Arabidopsis thaliana: one gene and its partner. The protein of the gene in region 2 interacts with the protein of the main gene of each other region in a pairwise test. Each region holds a gene or a part of one and is shown on either strand. Other genes may lie near its edges.

Region 1 (5,716 bases), 630 kb from region 2:
GATCCTCTTAATCTTGGGGCTCAACAATCCCCTATGGCTAAAACCATACAGCTTGAGCACTTGATTGTCTGCAAAATTAAAGGCCCTCTCCATACTCTTCAAGCACCTCTCGACTGCATAATCAGCATAGCTACCACACGGTTTACACCCAACGAAATGGGTCACAAATGGCCATCTCTCATCACCCAATCCCGGGTGATACTTCTCTATCATCTCCTCATACCTATCAACCAAACCTTCCCAAAACCCGTGCAAATAGTATTGATTCTCCACAAACACTTTCTCCATCCATGTATCTTTCTGAGAAAGCAGGAGATAGATCAATGCTGACTGATCATCTGCCTCAAAAGCTGGTCTACCTTTCAGATAAGCCGTCAATACCTTCCCGGCCTCATCACGAATTGGCCCTTTAGGTCCCATAGGCGCCCAAGCATCTAACAAATCCAACGACCACTGACAATTCCTCAGCAGAAAACTACCTGTGTTCAAAGCAATCCACGACTTCTGATCGAACAACAAGTCCGGATAACCATGAATCACTAGATTATGCTTCTGATACCTAGCCAAAGGGATCTGAAACAGTATATCAGTGAACAAAGCATCACTATCCATCCACCAGATCCACTCAACTTCTGGATGAGACAACATCAACCTCCTAATCATTGGTAATTTTGCCCAATAGCCAGCGAGTTCCTTATCCAAATGAGCCATGTTATACACAATCTCAATTCCATGAAGCCTACAATAATCAATCTTGTTCTTCACAGATTTCAAAAGATAATGATCACCAATGGGGTTATCACAAGGCTTAGGAGGAGATCCTGTTAAAAGCAAGATTCGAGCTTTGCCATTGACAGTACTAGGAAACTCAGGATTCTGATTCAACCATACCTTACGTTGACTATCCCAATCCGTGATCTTAGGACCTAGAACATACGTCGCATTGGGATTCATATCACCTTCCTGAGGCTCATCCAAGTCGGTTGGATCCGAATCAGATCGGATCTCAGCTAGAATCCGGTTAGTCTCCTCAATGATGTTCTGGTTAACTGCATCGGCGCTTGAGCTTCCTAGGTTACCAACACCGATAGTGCCACGTAAGACGAGAATTGTGACGAAACCACAGAGAATTGTGATCTTGATGTTGTTAAACGTCTTCTGCATCTGTCTACCTCGAGGTAACAAACCACCACGACCACCTCTTCCTCCACCGTTGGTTAACGTCGTCGTCGGAAGTCCTCCGCCGCTTCCGGATGGTCTTTTATGCGCCGGCGAACCATCTTGACCCATTTTCTTCTTCAACGTCTCTCTCTATAGATTTCACTTACAGGTTTGCGACCATCAACTTTGTTTTCCTCAGATCAGTCTGAGTATGTTTCTGTCTCTCCGTACTTACTTATTCACGGATCTGAGAAAAAGTTCAGATCTTTAGCATGATTCCGATCGGGGAAAGAGAAAGAGAAAGATTTGTCGATCTGAAGAACCCTAATTTAAAAATGGAATTAAACCCAATAATGCGGAAACATTGTCATTACTTAAAAATATATTGTCGGAGGAAAATGCTTCGTTCGATCCAGAAAGCGCACAAGGAGAAGAAGAAACGCGTACAGCTCACTCTCACCGACAACTACTATTTTACTTTAACCGATTTCGGTAATAGAAAATTACGGAACTAAACCGGTAGTTTAATTTTGGCGGTATAGTGAAACGATGCGTTTTGGTAGTTAAACCTGAAAACAGAAACGGATAAGGTGAGGAAATCGGTGGGGGCGGCGGAAACATTGAAAGGCGTTTCAGAGTCACCATGTTTTACGACGCGTGTCTCTTTTTCAGCCGGTTTTCTTCTCGCTGGTTACATCAGAGCTTCGGAGATATTATATAACTCAACGACGTAGCTGTTGCATTTTTTGTTTTTGCAATGATCTTCATCTTCATGACCGGATAAACTCTTGTAAGTGTATTTCGTTTTCTGTAATTCTGTTAATGATTTCTTGGGTTTCATCAAGTTCGTTACTTTTTGTATGTTCTCGGTCCAATCTTTGGGGGTTGGATTGTAAATCTCATATCTGATTATGTAGTGTATGTGTGTGTGATTTTCTTGTTGCAGAGAGAAAGATTCAAAGTGATTATCTTTGTGGATCCCTCCATTGCTATGTGGAATTTAGCTTCAAAATCGATCAGAGAAGGTTTTATATCGAAGGGAGAAGAAGCTGCTACAAAACCAAGAAGAGCTACTTTAGATAGATCAGGAGATGGAAGAAAGACAACAAAGGAAGAAAAATTGGAGTGTCCCATTTGCTGGGAATCATTCAACGTTGTTGAGAATGTACCTTATGTCTTATGGTGTGGTCATACAATCTGCAAGTACTGTCTCTTAGGGCTTCAACGTGCCATTGTCATCAAATCCTCTGCTTTACCATTCCAGCTTCCCTTCTTCGTTGCTTGCCCTTGGTGCAATATTCTCTCTTTAAGGCTGGTTTGCAATGGAACCATCAGATTTCCTTCCAAGAACTTTTACCTTCTGTGGATGGTAGAAAGCATGAATGGCTCCAGATCGGAGGCACCCAGCGACAACAAAAGGGTTGCTTCAGGGCAGAGAGACTTGAGAAATAGGTGTGATGGAGTGAGTAATACCGCCTTGGGTGATGAAGGGTTGCTGGACAATCGCAGCTGGTGGAATGGTGTGACCAGAGGATTCTTCAGAACTGGGAGGCTCCATGACTCGGTACGTAAGTCAATGGCTCTTGTTGCTCATTTGTTGGCTAAGTTTCCTCTGGTAGTCATATTCCTGTTGATGGCTTTATATGCAATCCCTGTGAGTGCTGCAGTTCTCGGGGTTTATTTCTTTGTTACGTTTGCTTTGGCTGTCCCGTCGTTTCTCGTCCTTTATTTTGCCTTCCCGAGCTTAAACTGGCTGATCAGAGAGATTGCAACCTGACTCATTGTACTGTTTCTTTCTTCCTGTATGTTTCCTGACTTGTAAGAAACACGAGATAGAGCCAACGTTGTTTACACTCAATATAGACAAGAAGAAGAGAAGATCTTTATTTTCAGATTGTGTCTCTGTACATTGCGAACAAAACTACCTTTCTCTATCCCTATCTGTCTGATAACAATGAGGTTCTGTGTACAAGAAGAATCAGAAACAATGAAACGAAAAATGGTGAAGAAGAAAACTCTGTTGTTCTGTATAATAAATCTGAAAGAAGAAAAGAAAGAAAGATTTTTACATTTCTATGTAACCTTGTGAAGATAAGCCATTGAAGAGCTCTGCTTTACCGGATATCTTAACCAACATAGCTAGAACTTCTTTCATGTTTGGTCTTGCCTGAGGATGATCAGCTGTACACTTCACACCAATCTTTAGTAGCTCAGTCATTTGCTCAGCTCCGTTCCCTGGTTTGGTCCCTGACAGGGTTATTGGTGAACCTTTGGCTGTCATGTTACCTGTCATTACACGTCTTGCCCATTCGACCAAACACTCTTCTCCTCCATCAACAGCTCTTCTACCCGTCGCGAGTTCCATGGTCAATACTCCGTAGCTGTAAACATCTCCTCTTGTGGTGGCTTGCCAAGTTTGTCCATACTCGGGAGCTACATACCCGATTGTGCCTGCAATCACTGTGCTCACATGGCTATCTCCTACATTTAAGAGTCTTGCTAGTCCAAAATCCGTCACTCTCGCATTCCCGTGTTTATCCAAAAGAACGTTACTGGCTTTGACGTCTCTGTGAACGATGGAAGGGTAGCATTCGTGGTGTAAAAACACTAATCCCCTTGCTACATCTGTGGCTATATCAATACGTTTCTTCCATTGAAGTTTTGTTTTGTCTGTGATGAGCTCCTCTAAGCTCCCGCCTCCCATGTATTCGTGCACCAAGATTTTCTCTGACCCATCTAGGCACCATCCATATAGCCTCACGAGGTTCGGATGTGCCCAATCTCCAAATGCGTTGGCACTTAGAACTTCCATTTCAGCTCTGAACTCTTTCTCTGCTTCTGTGCCTTCCCTCTGAAGCTTCTTGACTGCAACTTCTCTTCCATCAGGCAATACGCCTCTGTAAACAGTTCCATAGCCTCCCCTACCTACCACTCTCTCCTCAGAGAAGTTACTGGTTGCTTTCAGAATGTCAGCGTATGTGAAAGTTGATTTGTCTAAGCGAATGACCTTGATTTTTCCTGATAGCCATGGCGATGATCCACCTGAACTGGAAGTCATGTCATGTCTGGTTTTCGACCCATCTAAGAGATCGATTTCTGCTTCCCTTGAAGCCTTAACAACCATAAGTACAATACCTGATACCACTAAACATGCAATAAACGCCAATGCAAGAGCCAAGGAAATCCAAATCAAAAGAAGAGTTCTTGGCCTGTTTCCTAGGACTTGGTTGGAAATCTTCCTCGTGTTGTTCCCTGATTGGTTGAAGAAACTAGGAAACCGCAGCAGCGGATTTCCAAGAAAGGAGTCTTTGTCAAAGGTTGCTACTTGTCCTGTTGTTGGTATCGCGCCAGAAATGAAAGGGTTATATGAGATGTTGAACTTACTCAGCTCATTCAAGTCATTCAAACTCGTTGGAAAGTTTCCAGAGAAATTGTTGAAAGACAGATCAAGATTCTGCAGGCACTTCAGATTTCCGATTTCTTGAGGAATCTCGCCCGAGAAATTGTTTCGAGTAAGGTTGAGGAATGCAAGAGGCAATTGTCCTATCTCTGGAGGCAGTTTCCCCTCAAACTCATTGAAACCCAAATGTAGTGTGCTCAGCCTGTCCATCTGAGAGATGCTTGCAGGAATCTCACCTGAAAACTTATTTCCACTGAGCTGAAGATAGGCTGAAATTTTAAGCGTGCGTACCGTGGAACCAGCAGAACAGACAGGAAAGAGACCGTACCCTTTGAGAACATGGTCCCATAGGCTTCTGCAACTCTTTTTGGTTAGAATTGCGTATACAAAGTTGAACGGAGGGAACTCCGCTGGAATCCATCTCTTCATCGCCAAGCATTCACCAGAACCAGCAATTATCTTGTCTTTGTTTTGCCTATTCACTTCAAATGTTGGAGAAGGATTACTCCCCATTCTAGTCAATTCAGGATGGAATCTACCAGAGAGCTGGTTGTTTGCCACGTTAAACCACAAAAGGCTTGTGCAGTTGCCAATCTCTCGAGGGATTTCTCCTGATAGAGAGTTGTTTGCAAGCATTAGCCACAAAAGAGAGGTCAATTTCCCAAATGAAGCTGGTATCGAACCGGTCAGCTTGTTAAAGGAGAGATCAAGTGCTTGAAGCCCCGGCATGTTCCCATACTCCTGTGGTATATCGCCACTGAAGTTATTATAAGCAAGAATCAAGAACTTCAAACTCTGTATCTGAGAAATTTCAGTAGGTAACTGTCCCGAGAAATTGTTGTAGCCCAAATCTAGCCTTGAAAGATTGGGTAACTTGAGGATGTTGGAAGAATTGATGCCTCCTACGTATGAGTTTGCATGCAAGACTAGATACTTTACTTGCGTGAATCTCCCAAAGATTTCTTGAATGTCTCCTCCAAATTTGTTTCTGCTCAAATCCAGAAACACCAAGTTGGTCAAGTTCAGGAGAGTTTCCGGTATGTCTCGAGAAAATGTATTATTCCCCAAGTACAAACCTTTGAGAGAGGATATGGAACCAATCTCAGCTGGAATGTTCCCTGTGAACTTGTTTCCCCAAAGATTCAGTACATTTAG
Region 2 (8,019 bases):
TACAAATCATCAATGTCTAAACAAAGAGAAAACTCAAAACATGTACCACTAAACTAATAACAAACATTCACAATAAAGGCACTCAATTTTCATTCACTCCCGAGAGTTTCAATGATTCATTCTAGTAGATATAAATCAAGAACATCCTATAGAGAAGTTAAAGATCCTCTAAACTTTCACCACTTGTATGAACCAAAACCAGATCAAAGCTATCATCTTTCTTCAAAACCAACTAGATAGCAGTTAACAAGAGATCTTGTTAGTAAGTGACAACTTAGAAATGCTACTCTACATTATGCATAGACATTAGCTTCATTGAGGAATTGCTATACGGTATAAACAATAATGCGTGTTTACTACGAAAAAGGAGATTTTTTAATCATCTTTCTTAATGATTCCATCGACAATACTACTAGTAAAGACATTACCTAGTGATGATCTCCGTGACCGTGATCACCATGACCATCCCAAGGGTGCCTCCATCCCTATCCATTGCCAATAGCAAGATCAGATTCAGCCACCACGAAAGATATTAGGACCAATAAAATTTACAAAAGCGAGACAAAGATAAAAAATGAAAGAGTTTTACCATAACTACAGGACCATCTTGCTTTGCCCTGTACAGAATCCAGAACCTGAAAATACCAAAAATTGAGTTTTTAAGATGTGAATGCTAGGGAAAGTTAAAACCTATGTGCGATTACTTCTTCAACCATTCTCATCGAACTGAAATTGACATAAGCAATATCTGATTCAAATTAACATCTACCTGATTAGCTCCGATACTAATTTGACAAATCCAATTTTTTGATTCAAATGGATTCTATATACAAAATTCCTCAGATGATCAATTAGCCCAAAATCCCCATGGCGAGATCTAGCTACGATCGAGATTAGCTAGGTCCCAAAATCAAAAGCGAATTAGGTGAAAGAGAGAAATCAGAAATGTACCACATAACGGCGCACAAGCCTTTTCCGGTGACGGTGTGCCAAGTCTTGGGAGTGTGGACAGTGACTCCCTTGTAAGTTATACCTCCGCCATGTCCTCCTCCACCCATTATCTCTCTCTCGAAACCCTAGATTCCCCGATTCGCACTTCAATTTCAGACCGAAAAAGCTTTCTTTCTCCTCAGCTTTGACAATTTACTACCTGAGATTTGATTCAACCATGTGAGTCGTCACTTTTAGTAAGGCCTCAATTAAAAGGCTTAGGCCCAATTTAAAGACCAAAGGCCCATTTCTATATCTGTTTCTTTCACAATGTTTTCTTCCTTTTTGGGCCCTTTAAGAAGTTTGGATACATGAATTGAATGTTTTGTAGATTTTGTAAGAGTTTTTGGTTTTTGTTTTCCAAAAACTTATTTTCATACCAATCAAGATTTTAAAATTTTGGTTTCCCTACAATTTAGAAAAATTATTTTCTTGTAGTTTTCCATTCATGATTTTAGTTTTTTAGTTCTCCTAAAATTTAGGAAATCTAGTTTTTACTCAATCAACGTTATTTTTCTCAAAAACCAAAAACCAATTTTTTGGGGTTTTTGAAACAAAAATATAATAATAAAAATCTGAAACTAAAATCTAAAATCTATAAACTAAAATCTAAATTCAAAAACTGAATCCAAAATCAGCATCCATTCAGGGCCTATAACTTCGTCCCAAATCGTTGTTTTAACCGTCAAAAAAAGACTCAAAATCAAATGATGATACTGTATCATTGATACATTACAATAATTAATTTATTACAAGATCATGTTGGTATACACAAAATAGAACAACCCTTCTCCAAAAAAAGTTAACAATTACTCCAAATGGTTAGGAAACTAATGACTGAAGCTGGCTCTGTCCACGAAAGAGAGAAGAGATTGAAGCTCCCTTGCAGGTGCTGCTCGTGGAAGACTTCTCCACATCATCATAATCATGGGACATGCTCCTTCTCACAAGCATGATGATGTGATCCATTAAACTTCCATCGCAAGGAACTTTTAAAGGACCATCAATGGTAGTCCCAAACTCATCCTCAGCCATTTGCAATAGCACCTGTAACATCGGATGATTCAGATAATCCAATGGTAAAACGAATCTCTTCCCTTCGTTCGTGTACACAGCGAAGTGCCCTTTCTTCCTTCTTCTCCATTTCTCCATCAATTCGGAGAGTCTAATCCCTTTAGAATTTAGTTTCTTCATATGATTTTTGTGTGTGTGTTACTTCGGCTTTGATAGTTTCGTTGCGTATGTATCTGTCTGTATGCAACCTTAATTAAATGCCTAACTGCTTCTCTATATATATAGCAATATATGGACCAAACTGTGGATTTTGATGTGTGTGGAGGGAAAAGGATGTTCGTGCTTATTTGATTGTTTTTAGTTGCTTTTCAAATTTGTCCACAAATTGGATCACGACCACTCGTGGAGTTATGTACTGACCTTCTACAAATATCTAGAGATTTTCGATCTTTCTAATTATTTCCGTTTCAAAACATGAATTACGACTAAATGCAATTATCTTGGTTACTAACACACTTGTTTTTGTCATTGTCATTAATGAACTTTGACAAAGCTATATCACCATGTAGACAGTATCTCATTATTTGGAAATTAAGTTAATCAAATCAAGCTAAGCTAGTGTATTGACAGACCATAACATTACAAATAATACTAACTATTACCACTTTTTCTTTAACAAGATACTAAAGTAGTTGCAGAGCGCAAAGGTAATGATAGAAACATGTGAGCGTTTCGAGCAAGTTGCTTGCTACTTTTCATTTTATAGTTCTCTCTTCTACTTTCATGAGTGTTCGTTGTTTTTCTTTTTCTCGTCACATGAAAATCCTGCAAATCATTTTTTAAAAACTTTTTACAGCCAACAAATCTAAATCACTTCATCATGATATTAAGTGTAACATAGATAGATGGAAAAACTATCTTTAATCACAAAACGCTCAAGTTAACAATCCGTGATCGTGCCTAGGAAAAATAAAGCAACCTCCCATACTACTTTATACAGGAAAACAACCTTTACAGCACTTTTGTTCTGATTTGTCTAAGCTAAGCCTTGAAATTGCAGTCCCTGGTTTCATATCTCAAGTTCAGGTCGATTCTTCAAAGGACAAAAGCGATGCGTCCCAGAGTCAGTCTGAGCTTAGCTGTCATCTTCATCAATGCATATGGGCACAAAACTCATGCCAGAGAAGAGTTGTGGTTTGGTTGTGTGAGAAGATAAACGGTTCGCAACAGCTCAATGGTTTCGGTCTTTACATAGAGAGAGGAAGAAGCATCCTTCGCTTCTTCTTCCTAGCATGTCTCACTTGCTTTGTGATTTTCATACAGAGGAGTAATAGTAAGGTGACACAAAGCAGGATAAAAGCAAGTTGCAACCGCCTGAAGTACAAGGATACAGCTGAAAACACCACGAGTGCTAACATCACTAGTTCCCATATGACAAAGACTACAACATCAACCCTGAATCAAAAGCAAACGAAACGAATAGCATAAGTACCACTATAGAATGTTCATTGTCAAAATTTAACAATAGAATCCAGATTGCAACAGAGTCGATAAGAATGAAAAGTGTATGTCAAATTGTCAAAGATGGTTCAACGTGGACAAGTCAAAATTATAGTTCCTTGTGTAGGATTCACATAGATATCCAATGTTCAACGACAATCCCTTAAAAGATGAGAAATTTACGGTTCCAATTGAATTAAATATCACAAAGTACAATTTTTCAAATACAACTCTAAGCACGCAGCTCCAAATCACAGCAGATTAAAAAGGAAAGGATAAGCCGGAGATCTCTAACCTGGAGGAAGAGAAATTGGAGGTGGAAGAGAAGAAAGAAACGGAGGCCCAATCATGCTTTGATCTAATCTGATATTCCCTGAGCTGTTCTGCTAGATTCGATCTTGTTATCATCGCTTCTTCTCCACCAAGTCCCGATCACAGTCCCGATTCGACGAAGAGCTCAAGAAGCGTTTGAGAATCACGAGATGTAGGAAAAATCTATCACCAACATATAACTAGAATCTAGAAATCCAAAACAATGGAAAAACAAAATCTGTGAATTGGAAAATTTCGCATCAAAATTTTACAGCGACGAAACGGTGTCCGATTCGTTAGGAATTCGGCGAACGTTGCGTGGACTCTCTCGGTGTCAACAACCGGGTCGGGTTATAGATCCGATCTGGATTCTTAAGCCCATTTTATGGGTATTGGGCTTTTACCGTTACTCTTTTGTTTTGAGTTGTCATCATATATGAAAACTTTGTTCCGATGCCATGAAATTTGGGCTTTTAAGAATCATGAAAACTTTGTTCTAACAGAAATAGAAACATCAAAGAAAAAGAAATAAAACAGCGATGCATCGATTGATTCTCATGTCCCACCAAGTAAAGCGAGTGCTAAATATTGTTGAATATTCCTGATTTGACCACAATAAGGAAAATATCACGCCCATAAAACTCAGACGGGCGGTGAAAAAGAAGAAATCGACAGAAGAACAAACGCATGACGTTCATTACTTAGCACTAATCTGAAACTTTCGAATTATAGTATTTGATCCATATGTATTCTACGTTTTTCAGAAAACTTTGTTCAGATATCTCAAACTTTCGAATTAATTAATATTATTTTAAAATCTATAGTTTAGTTGTGAATTCTAAGTGTCGGCTACAATTTGTCGGTTCGCTATCACCGAAAACATTATCCAAAGAATAAGTTAAGAGCTGAGCTTCGGTGTATATGACAACAAGAACCAAAAAGACGAATAAGTTAGTATTGAAAAAGATAGGTTTGTTTGATATGTGTGTTGATACGTCACGGTTCGTGCTACGTCTTTGTTAAATTTAGAGACCAGAGATTACTGATGTGGCACGTCGGTTCATTTTTTTTATTTTAGGCGAATTTTAAGAGATGATGCATTTACCGATTACCATCTGTCCTTCATTAATATTTTTAGTATATCTTTTTCAATAGGTCGAAAATGACATCCCACACATTAACATATTAATTCATAAGAAATCCAAGTCATCTTATGCTCATTTGTCTACTCATGATTTCATTATCTACATCTAAGTTTATCTTTAAAAACTGCATGAAAACATAACCATTTACGTTGAAAAAATACATACACAAACCCTTTTCCCATAAACGAGATTACGAAAGATTGTTTTATGTGCCCCAAAAATGGTAAACAAAAGATGATGCTAACTTTCTATTCGTTCTAAAATCTAAATCTTTAGTTTTAGTTTGTTTATGTCCACGATCATTTCTTTGATAATACTTTTGGCGGATTCACAAGCGCAAATTACCCGTCTTATTGTAGCATTAGGACTAAAAATGAGATCCGGTAGCATTGCAACAACACCTTCCTAATCGATTGAGCCAATCGGACTTATATTACTTGTTGGATTTGTTTTTTTTTTTGTTTAGAGTATCCAAGATCATGTATTTACAATTTCAAAGATCATGCGTTACTAGATTGGCCTCTTCAACATGTTTAGTGAATAATAAGTTAAAATAACACCTAATCGTTGAGGATTCATAGCGTGATAAGAATTAAATAACCAAGTTCTTATTGGTTTGTTTGTATTTTGTAACGCATAGAATAGAAGAAAGAAAAAATAAGGAACGTTATAAATTTCTAAAAAATCATCATTTCTTCTCGAACAAGCTTGTTCCAGCGTGGCACTAGTCAATAAGTCAAGTGGACCCACGTAACCGACATCACGTCTTTTACGCCAATCAGTACATACTATTGGGTCCTACAAAAGGACAACTTCCCATGTTATATTGACACGTTTTAAGATGTAATTGATTAATCTAAATTTCTCTCTGACTCTTTTCTTTGTCTACATCCGACGTTCCATTTCTGACTATGAGCTCCGTCGTCCGATTTGCGCTAATGCTTGACACGTGTCTTCCAATCTATGGTGCATTAAATTGTTAATCCTTTCAAAATCTGTAATCCATTTTTGGAATTTGCAAGATGGTTCCTATATTTGTGAATATATATATATATATAAGAAAGCCCGAAACTTTAAGAACAATAATTTATAGGGACATCCCATTCTTTAAAATCTCTTTTGCGTTGTCAAAAATAAATTATTTTTGCTTTCAGAGGAAATGAAAAAACATTTTTGCTTATTCCATATTATTCTTACTCTATTTAAAGTTTGAATCAGTTTTCTTTAACTTGATAAACCGATCATTGAACTACAAAGTCCACATAACAAGTATTAAAACAAACAAAAAAACTTATGAAAGTCTAATATTTAAATTAAAAACAGTACACGCCTTGAACAAACCATTTAGTTTGTTTTCACTACTTTTGAAAAAAAACTATCTAGTTGCCATTCTTATCCATTATTTTTTATTCCACTAAATTGATATCAGATCACGTAAGCAAACTATTAACAATTAATTAATGAATTCTTCTTAATCCAATATAACTTTATCTAATTAACAGAAAAATGATAATTAACGTGGGGACGAAGGAGAAGATGCCATAAAAAGCGGGTCATTTTGTAATTTCATATAATTAGATATATGTTTTTAAATTGCAAAAAAAAAGTGTACAAAGAGCGTGAAATCCGCGGTGGCTTGGACCCCTCCCGAGTCCTCAACACTATATAACACACTTTCTTCTCTAATCTCCATCACCTCTTATTTTCATCTGCTTTTGAATTTCAAACCTTCACATAAAAAAAATACTTTTGAATCCGTGTTTCATTCATCGAATCTTTTTCCGATAACTATGGCTGAGGAAATCAAGAATGTTCCTGAACAGGAGGTGCCAAAGGTAGCAACAGAGGAATCATCGGCAGAGGTTACAGATCGTGGATTGTTCGATTTCTTGGGAAAGAAGAAAGACGAAACAAAACCAGAGGAGACTCCGATCGCTTCAGAGTTTGAGCAGAAGGTTCATATTTCAGAGCCGGAGCCAGAGGTTAAACACGAAAGTCTTCTTGAAAAGCTTCACCGAAGCGACAGTTCTTCTAGCTCCGTAAGTTTAGATCTGATCTGTTGATGATAAACTATAACATGATCGAATGCTTTTCTTATCTAACTATATGGGTCTGAATTTATACAGTCAAGTGAGGAAGAAGGTTCAGATGGTGAGAAGAGGAAGAAGAAGAAGGAGAAGAAGAAGCCAACTACTGAAGTTGAGGTAAAGGAGGAAGAGAAGAAAGGGTTTATGGAGAAGTTGAAAGAGAAGCTTCCTGGACACAAGAAACCTGAAGACGGTTCAGCCGTCGCTGCGGCACCGGTGGTTGTTCCTCCTCCTGTGGAAGAAGCGCATCCAGTGGAGAAGAAAGGGATTCTTGAGAAGATTAAGGAGAAGCTTCCAGGATACCACCCTAAGACCACCGTAGAGGAGGAGAAGAAAGATAAAGAATAAGAAGATTATCATTAAAGATATTAAGAATAATGATGGTTGATTTGCTTTGTTTTTTTTTTTTTTTATTGTGATGATTGATCATCTTTTGCTTTTGTGATGTGTAAGTTTGTTGGCTTTTTTGTTGATTACAATTTCTTATTTTCTCTTGTATATGGTTTTTAAAAACAAAAGATCTCAAGGTATTTTAATGGTATGAATATTTTCATTTGATTAAGTGATATGGATGATATAATTTTATGTATTGATAATCTTCAACTATTGCTCAAAGCCGTAAACATGACCCCAGTTTGATTAGCATTCAAGTTCGTATGTAGGAAATTAAATGCGTTGGTATAGAAGAAACATGATCGTGTATACTCTTCTTTTTAGTGATTGATTTGGCATTGCGGTCGACACAACTACTCAAAACGTGTAAGAAAATGGACCAACTTAGATATTTTTGTAGACCAGTTGACGTAACGTTTCCCTAATATGCTAGTTATGATAAGATCACATATTCACATGAGATCCAGCTAATCACAAAACATTTCCATTAATGGACCACATCCTTAGTTAATAATGTCTTTAACGCTCATCATTGTGGGTATATCTAATTATCTATAATCTTGTATGTGGGATTTTAA

Evidence for each region. Proteins that work in one complex are often made in the same cells at the same time.
Region 1: the proteins of AT1G76185 (region 2) and AT1G74370 interact in a protein complementation assay, tested with the Arabidopsis thaliana proteins (one large-scale study listed by BioGRID).

The regions. Positions count from the first base shown.
Region 1 is NC_003070.9:27,955,422-27,961,137, reverse strand, and holds AT1G74370 (RING/U-box superfamily protein), read left to right. Parts: upstream 1-1,737; 5' UTR 1,738-1,951; intron 1,952-2,107; 5' UTR 2,108-2,152; coding exon 2,153-2,938; 3' UTR 2,939-3,052; downstream 3,053-5,716. Other genes in the region: AT1G74385 (uncharacterized protein), read left to right, coding at 168-413; XXT5 (xyloglucan xylosyltransferase 5), read right to left, coding at 1-1,290; AT1G74360 (Leucine-rich repeat protein kinase family protein), read right to left, coding at 3,227-5,716.
Region 2 is NC_003070.9:28,586,390-28,594,408, reverse strand, and holds AT1G76185 (NADH-ubiquinone oxidoreductase chain), read right to left. Parts: upstream 4,085-8,019; 5' UTR 3,913-4,084; coding exon 3,800-3,912; intron 3,460-3,799; coding exon 3,252-3,459; 3' UTR 2,878-3,251; downstream 1-2,877. Other genes in the region: AT1G76200 (NADH dehydrogenase ubiquinone 1 beta subcomplex subunit), read right to left, coding at 429-485, 590-635, 952-1,058; AT1G76190 (SAUR-like auxin-responsive protein family), read right to left, coding at 1,813-2,184; ERD14 (Dehydrin family protein), read left to right, coding at 6,752-7,000, 7,088-7,396.